2 linked regions of the Danio rerio genome follow. The protein of the gene in region 2 interacts with the protein of the main gene of each other region in a biochemical or structural test. Links are inferred from orthologs where the notes say so. Each region holds a gene or a part of one and is shown on either strand. Other genes may lie near its edges.

Region 1 (3,835 bases), on a different chromosome or scaffold from region 2:
AGTTCTAAAAATTCTCTCTGTCGTAAGTGATAATGGCAGCTCCATTTCTTCAGATCTGATATACGAACAATGGTTTCTCGAATGATGTCATCAGTGGGCGTGGCAAATCAGTATGCAAATCACTGTGTCCTTGTGATGTCACATGCCACTTTATATCTAACCACACACTTTTAGGATAAAAAAGTGGTAGTCCAGAGTGTATTTTTAAGGCTTGGATGTGTTTATAAGATGCAAAGCAATGTGTGCTCATGCTTCATTTGTAGAAAATCACATTATTTTTTGGTATTTTTTACTTAATGTACAGCTAATCAGCTAACATGACAATGACTGTCATATTTCCTAATTTCTTTGGAAAGAGGCTCTGATAGGTCAGCTATTATAATGTGCTGTGATTCGCGGATCAGTTTTATGTCACCAGAAAAAGTGTCACGCCTCCACAAGCACGTGCTTTCGCTCTGCTGTGTAAATACTGTCTGTCAGAGTAGCTTTTAGCCGTTTCAGTTTAAGCCTTAATCAGACAGAAAATAAAAAGGATAAACCTCAAGCCTGCTCCCTAAAATAAAATTCTGAAATGTGTCTTACACATGCTTATTCCGATTATATGTGAAAGTAATATAAAACATTCACTTATCTTTTGCGAGTTTGTTATTTGCAATGTAGAACGCAGGGAAAGCGGCCGCATAGAGAGACCCTGCAGCCCTGGTGAAGATTATGGATGTTTACAGCAGTCTGACAGATAAATATGAATTTGCAGCTAAATTGTTAGCAGTGCCAAACATCATTTCCCGTTGTTTGTACTCTTGTTTACATCCTTGCTACAACATAACGCTAACCTTCAAACTGTGCATGTAGTTGATTGATTTTATCAAATAAAAATACTTACAGGTTGTGGCTCACAATTCACAGGCAGAGGAATGCAATGTCTCTGAAAGCTTTTAACATCATCCGGCCCTTTCCAGTGAGTACGTACATGGACACCAATGCTCCGATTTTAATATGATTACGACAATTCTCTGATTAAGAGCCTAGACTACCATGTAAACAGTGATTTTGATTACCTTAAAGGACCACAGACACCTGCATCGTAAAATGCGAAGGTTTCCTTCTTTCCCTTCAACATGCGCTATCAAATTCCATTAAAAAAGCACTCTTCCACCAGTCCTTAGGTAATGCTCAAATCAAATCAAAAAATTAAAAATGAAACACCTGAAATTATATGAAACGCTAAAGGAAACATGGATAGCGTGGTGACGCAATGACATTAATCGATCTAAGTACTATAACATGTAAGATGAAAACATGAAAGGAACATTCAAAAAGCAACTTATGTAAACACCTTAATCATATTATTGTCTTATTCAGATTAAGGCAAATCATTAGTTTACTAATAAGCATGTAAACATTGTCACTAACCCCAACCCTAGGGAAAAAAAAAGAGTTCAGTATTTTGATAACAGCCTTTCCACAGGTTAGTAGTAAGCTATTGTAATTTCATAATGCTAATCTTAAATTCATGCTAACCAACAAATGATCAAAGGAAATATATTAATATAATTCAAATATATAAAATATGAATTGATGTTTCTTTTAAAGTTTAATTATATTGTTCTATTAAAATTATATTTTTTAAACATTTTGTCAAATAAAATATTTTTCTAGAGCGGTGGGGCTCAACCCTGTTCTGGCGATCGATCTTCCTGCAAAATTTAGCTCCAACCCTGATCAAACACACCTGAACCAATTAATTAGGACCTGAACAGCACTTGATAATTACATGCAGGTGTATTTGATATGGGTTGCAACTGAAATCTGCAGTAAGGTCGATTGCCAGGAACAGGGTTGGTCACGCCTGTTCTAGAGTCATCCACCATAATTTTGTGGCTTAAAAGTGTTGGTTCAGGCACTGTTTTGGCACCGGTACTGTTTTAAAAGTATCGATTTAGCACCGGAATCGGAATAACCCAACCCTAGGTTGGGCAGCATTTTAGCTTTGTCTGCAATAATATTACAGCGCCTCTGGGCACGCCCCTTTGCTGCACAGGATGTATGCGCATGGCGTATGCACTTAACCAGAAGCGTTTGTGATCTCACCAACCCGGATGTATTTTTTTGTAGTCCCAAAGCTAACTCTGTAAAAGCCAATGTCTCCCTTTTGTTCACACAGCTACATTGCACTTGAACTAAATTTTAAAACAATGATACAAATGATATTGTAGTAGACCACCTGTTTAAGAAATATTGTGAAGGATAATGATGTTGAAAATCTTGATGTTTAATTGAAGAGTTCTTCTATGTTGTTAAAAGAAATCAAGGCAAATTTCAAATGTAAAGACCCCTTTATTTTTATCACGAAAGATTATATTTGAAGTTATTAGTCTAGTAATTGTAGAAGCTGTTTTGGGGGTTGTGTCACCTCACCAGCATATATACATTTTATGAAGAGTGGATCTTGAAATGTATGGCATTTTGTGTTTTGGATTAGGTGTTGTTTCCAGTCAACAAACAAAATGATTGTTTGCTCTTCCAAGGAAAAGTATGGGATTGCATATCTACCGTACAGCTTTTGTTTGCTTGTGCTTTTGTGAGTGCATCTATCTGTTTTGTTCACCACCTGTTGCCTGCAGCTGAATTGGTGGTGAAGTATATGTTGCGCCCTGGTGCTTTCAGCTGAATCTCTCTCTCTCTCTCTCTCTCTCTCTCTCTCTCTCTCTCTCTCTCTATCTGTAGGTATAATGGCTCTCTACCCAATGGGGACCGCGGCAGAAGGAAGAGCAGGTTTGCACTCTTCAAAAGACCCAAATCCAATGGTGTCAAACCCAGCACTGTACACGTAGCCTGCACCCCACAGGCAGCCAAGGTACCCTCCACCTAGGCATTACACAGGACTATCTTAAGAAAATCAGCAGTTACAGTGATATTTTGGTTCTGGGAGAGTTTTGAATAAAAAAAAAAATAGGTAGGTTTGAGCTGCAATGGAACAGGGTGCGTCTGCTCGGACACATCTGGATACTGTTGAGCTCATGAATGACCCTTCTGTGGCTCCATCACAAACACACACATTTATACACAAACAGTTCCAGATTCCACAGCCTCTTAGACTCTATTGTGCTGGCCAATAAACTTTTGATGGAACTTTTTTCCACATCTGCAAATAGTGATCTGTGTTTATTTACACCTGTACACATTTACTTGCTTTAGTATATACAATGATATAATAATTATTGGTATATACAATATTTGGACTTGACTTGATGAGATCTACTTACCACTGTGTTTATTTCATATTTGTTCACATGCAAAAATAAGTTTGCCTAACATTTTTGCCAATCATGCTGCCTCTGTCATCATTATTTTTAGGGAAATATATTTTTCAACAAATTGTTATTATCGTGACTTTTCCATTCATGCATTTTCCATAAAATAAATCACATGACTTGAAATTGGGTCAGAACTATTTTTGGCTTACACAGTCACACTTTTAAATATAAAGCATAAACGACTTTATGGTAAAACTAAAACTTTTCGGATTTGAAAATTGGCTATAGAAATATTTGCGCATCTCATGCAGCACAATCCAAATGTGAGCATGCTGTAGCTTGTTATGCATGCTTGATGTTTGTTGTATTCCATGTGATTTTGAAATTGTCAGACATATATCTGTACAAATACAGTACATCTCAGGTTGTGTGTTCAGCATGAATTTTTTCATGATCTCTCTTCTTGTTTCCTCAGGCCATAAGTAACAAGGATCAGCACAGTATTTCCTACACATTGTCCCGAGTACAGACAGTAGTGGTGGAGTACACTCAAGACAGCAATACAGACATGTTTCAGG
Region 2 (3,835 bases):
AACTAACCACAGAAAAAGTTTTGAAGAGTGGGCTGGAGACTCATTTTTTGGGTCATGAAGAGGTGTGGTGATGTGCATAAAGAGTAATCAAAATTTCAAGCGGGGAAATCCCTTTCTGCGAGTCTGTTGAACAAACAGAAATGAATCTCAGCCAAGCTTACAAAAAGCTGATCAAGAGAAAACAGGAAAGACTTCAGATTTAAAAGCACAAGAGAAGGAAGCAAGAGCCACAGGAGCGACAGACGGACAGGCAGAGCTTCTTACTGAGAGAGTTTGTCCACTTCCGTCCTGAAACTTTCCTTCACGACATTCCAGTCCAAGTGAGAATCCTGCAACACAACAGCCACATTAAAAAAACATGCAAATCATATCACATATTTATATTAATGCCATGTCAGAAACAATAGATATTTTAATGGACAAAATGTTGAATTAATAAATATACAAAAAAAAAAACTAAAATTAAATATGATGTTTAACGTTAAATATAATAAAATTTGTGGTGACTGAACATTCATTATGGCAATATTGTTGAATGCTAACAATATTTTTAATGATATAACTAACTTACAATATGCTATTTTATCAGCAACTTAAAATGATAAAAACTTAAAAATATATTTATGTAATGATCATTATGCCAAAATAAAAATAGGTAATATTTATTTCTCTTTTCTAAAAAAAAAAAAAAAAAAAAGCATTTAGACTTCAATCACCACAAACGCCTGAAAACTTTGGTGAAAATTCCGTTTCATTTATGTCCTACATAAATGTATTTAAGTCATTGCACTTTTCTGCGATATGAATATTGCACATACTATTAGCTATAACGATATTTTTTTTTAAATATAATGTGCAGCCCTAGCTGTCAGTAAAGGTCTTGTGAAAGTAATTTTATATGTTAGTATGAATATGTTAGTTAAGCATATCTACAAGCTACTGTGCTTATTAACTTTTAGAAGAGATAAACCTGACTTAAATGTCCAAATCTTGACCAACCAAATGCTCTCCAGTATCTGACATGCCCCGCCCCCTTTAAGACGCTTTTCGTTTGCCTTTTATTTGATGCGCTTAAGCTTCAACCACTCTCATTGGCAGAGCTGTGAGAAAACCAAACACTATTGGCTGTTCTTTAAAAAAGGTGAGGAGCTACTCTATGAGATTACGTCAAACAAAAAAATGCACTATCAGAGCACATCACAAGACCTTTAAAAGCAGGACAGTCCAATAGAATGTATTCAGGGTTCCCACGCTTTCATAAACAGTAAACGAGTCATGAGACTATAGTGTTCAAAAGAAACTACAGGCGCACATGATCTCTGTTACCCTAATGAAGACAAGTGTTTGCCACAACATGTAGGTGCATTCAATAAAGCCTTTTTAATATCTTTTCCAAATTTTTCTAATGTCATGGACTTCATTTTGCTGTTTATTCTGATGAATCCCTTACTTAAAGAGCACAGGCACATAAATTAAACTACCCCTGAGCACTTTCTGCTTGATTTTGAGTAAATTCAAGGACTTTCAAGAATTTTTTTAACCATTAATTTTAAATCAAGCACTTGATAATTTATACCCCCAGCATATGTAACGCAGTGAAAGTCCTTACTGTACTTAATAACTCACACTTAATATTTACATTAAAAAATGTCTGTTTTAAAAAGTCATGTTCAAAGAATTTTAGTAAAGTCTGTTGAATTCAAAACTGTTTATATTCAAATGTGGTTTCTGAAATATTGATGTAATGTGCATTATTTGTCAGTGTTGTTGTATAAGATTTAAATTTAACATTTTTATTTTAAGAATTTCTCTTCTTTCTGTATTCGACAATTGAGTACAACTGTTCAAATAAAACCCTAATAAAATTTTATGTCAAATTTAATTCTAGCACTTTCAAAGACCTGATATGTCTGAAATTCAAGTATTATCAAGCCCTTTAAGAAGCGTGGGAAACCTGTGTGCTTTTACATTAATAGAAATTTTGCAGAACAAACACTGAGATATAAAAGAAAACAAATAAATAAACATATAAGAACAAGCAGAAAGACATTTGTTTTGTTATTTTTCTTCAAATACCTCTTTCAGCTTCTTCACCGCAAACTCAGTGTTTCTCATCACAGCTTTATACACGTGTCCAAAACCTCCTTCCCCAATCTGCTTGCATGGGGAAAAGTTGCAGGTGCCTCTCTGTATTTCCTCAAACGGCCAGCTCATTGCAGAGGAGGAGAGAGGCGGGGGATCTACACGGTTCTCGCACGGCCACTATGAACACATGCGTCAGTGGATTAAGAAACCAAAAAGAAGAAAAACACGAAGAGTAATGCTGACTAATGCCTCTCCAGCACAATGGTAACACAGTCAATGCTGAAACCTATCAAGCCTTTTTATTATGCTGATTTTACTGAACACTGTTTACACCTTTCAGTTTAAAAAAAGGGGGATTTTCAGATCTTCATTTTTGGATTTTTTGGTGTTTTTTCAGTTTAATATTTAAAAAAAAAACATATATATATATATATATATATATATATATATATATATATATATATATATATATATATATATATATATATATATATATATATATATATATATATATATATGTATCGTTTGCATCACTTTATAGATGTGTTTTTGATATAAAACGTGTTATTTCCTGTAAAGTGATGCTTATTTCCACTTCAGGACACTTAAAACGTTACATTTTATTCATATCTATTTTTTTACCCAATCTGTTTTTTCTTTGGCATTGATCATAATCTCGACTTCAGCAGAAAAACTTTAAAGTTTTATTCGTATCCAAGTTCTCAAATAAATTTAAATCAAGTTGTTGTTGTTGTTTTTTTACAATTTGGTCATGTACAATTTGTCTGATTATATACATTTTATTTTACCAACAAAAGGTTATTTTGTAGAATTTATGAAGTGATATAAAGATACTCAAAATCCCCTCTGTAAAAACCTACTACACTACCTGATAAAAATTTTGTCGCCTATTCAAGTTTTAGGAACAACAAATAATAGCTTGACTTCTAGTTGATTATTTGGTATCAGAAGTGGCTGGTAACACTTTACAATAAGGTTTATTAGTTAATGCATTTACTAACATGAACTAATCGTGAAAAACACATGTACAGCATTTATTAATCATAAATGAACATTTACTAATGCATTATTAACATTCAGGTCCATGCTTGTTAACATTAGTTAATGTACAATGAGTTAACATGAATTAACAATGAACTACTGTATTTTCATTAACTAACGTTAACTAACATGAACAAATACAGCAGTAAATGTATTGTTCATTGTTTGTTCATGTTAGTAAATGCATTAATTAACATTAACTAATGAACCTTATTGTAAAGTGTGACCAAGTGGCTTATATGAAAGGCAAAGGCTTCTAGATTATGCTTATTTTATTAAAATAAATTATGATAACGCCTTGGTTTTGAATTATTTAATTAGGACAGTAAAGTCTGACTTTGCTTAGACAAAAGTCTTGTCACTTAACAGAAATAATGTTGTAAAATATAAAGTCATGGTGCAGTGGCAAATTAATATTGTGTCTGACTCCCATGAGCTTAGAAGACTGCATCCATACATCTCTGCAATGACTCTAATAACATATTACTTAAGTTATCTGGAATGACAAAGAAAGCGTTCTTGCAGGACTCCCAGAGTTCATCAAGAATCTTTGGATTCATCTTCAGTGCCGCCTCCTTCATCTAACCCCAGACATGCTCAATAATGTTCATGTCTGGTGACTGGGCTGGCCAATACTTGAGCACCTTGACCTTTGCTTTCAGGAACTTTGATGTGGAGGCTGAAGTAT

Evidence for each region.
Region 1: of the proteins of irak1 (region 2) and peli1b, one has a biochemical effect on the other in vitro, tested with the Homo sapiens proteins (5 studies listed by BioGRID and IntAct, with this or other methods). The link is inferred for Danio rerio from reciprocal best matches to the Homo sapiens genes IRAK1 and PELI1.

The regions. Positions count from the first base shown.
Region 1 is NC_133192.1:25,813,259-25,817,093, reverse strand, and holds part of peli1b (E3 ubiquitin-protein ligase pellino homolog 1b), read left to right. Parts: intron 1-2,727; coding exon 2,728-2,857; intron 2,858-3,732; coding exon 3,733-3,834; intron 3,835-3,835. UniProt on the Homo sapiens protein: E3 ubiquitin ligase catalyzing the covalent attachment of ubiquitin moieties onto substrate proteins. Involved in the TLR and IL-1 signaling pathways via interaction with the complex containing IRAK kinases and TRAF6.
Region 2 is NC_133183.1:9,125,311-9,129,145, forward strand, and holds part of irak1 (interleukin-1 receptor-associated kinase 1), read right to left. Parts: intron 2,263-3,835; coding exon 2,077-2,262; intron 330-2,076; coding exon 265-329; intron 124-264; exon of another isoform or gene 79-123; coding exon of another isoform or gene 8-78; intron 1-7.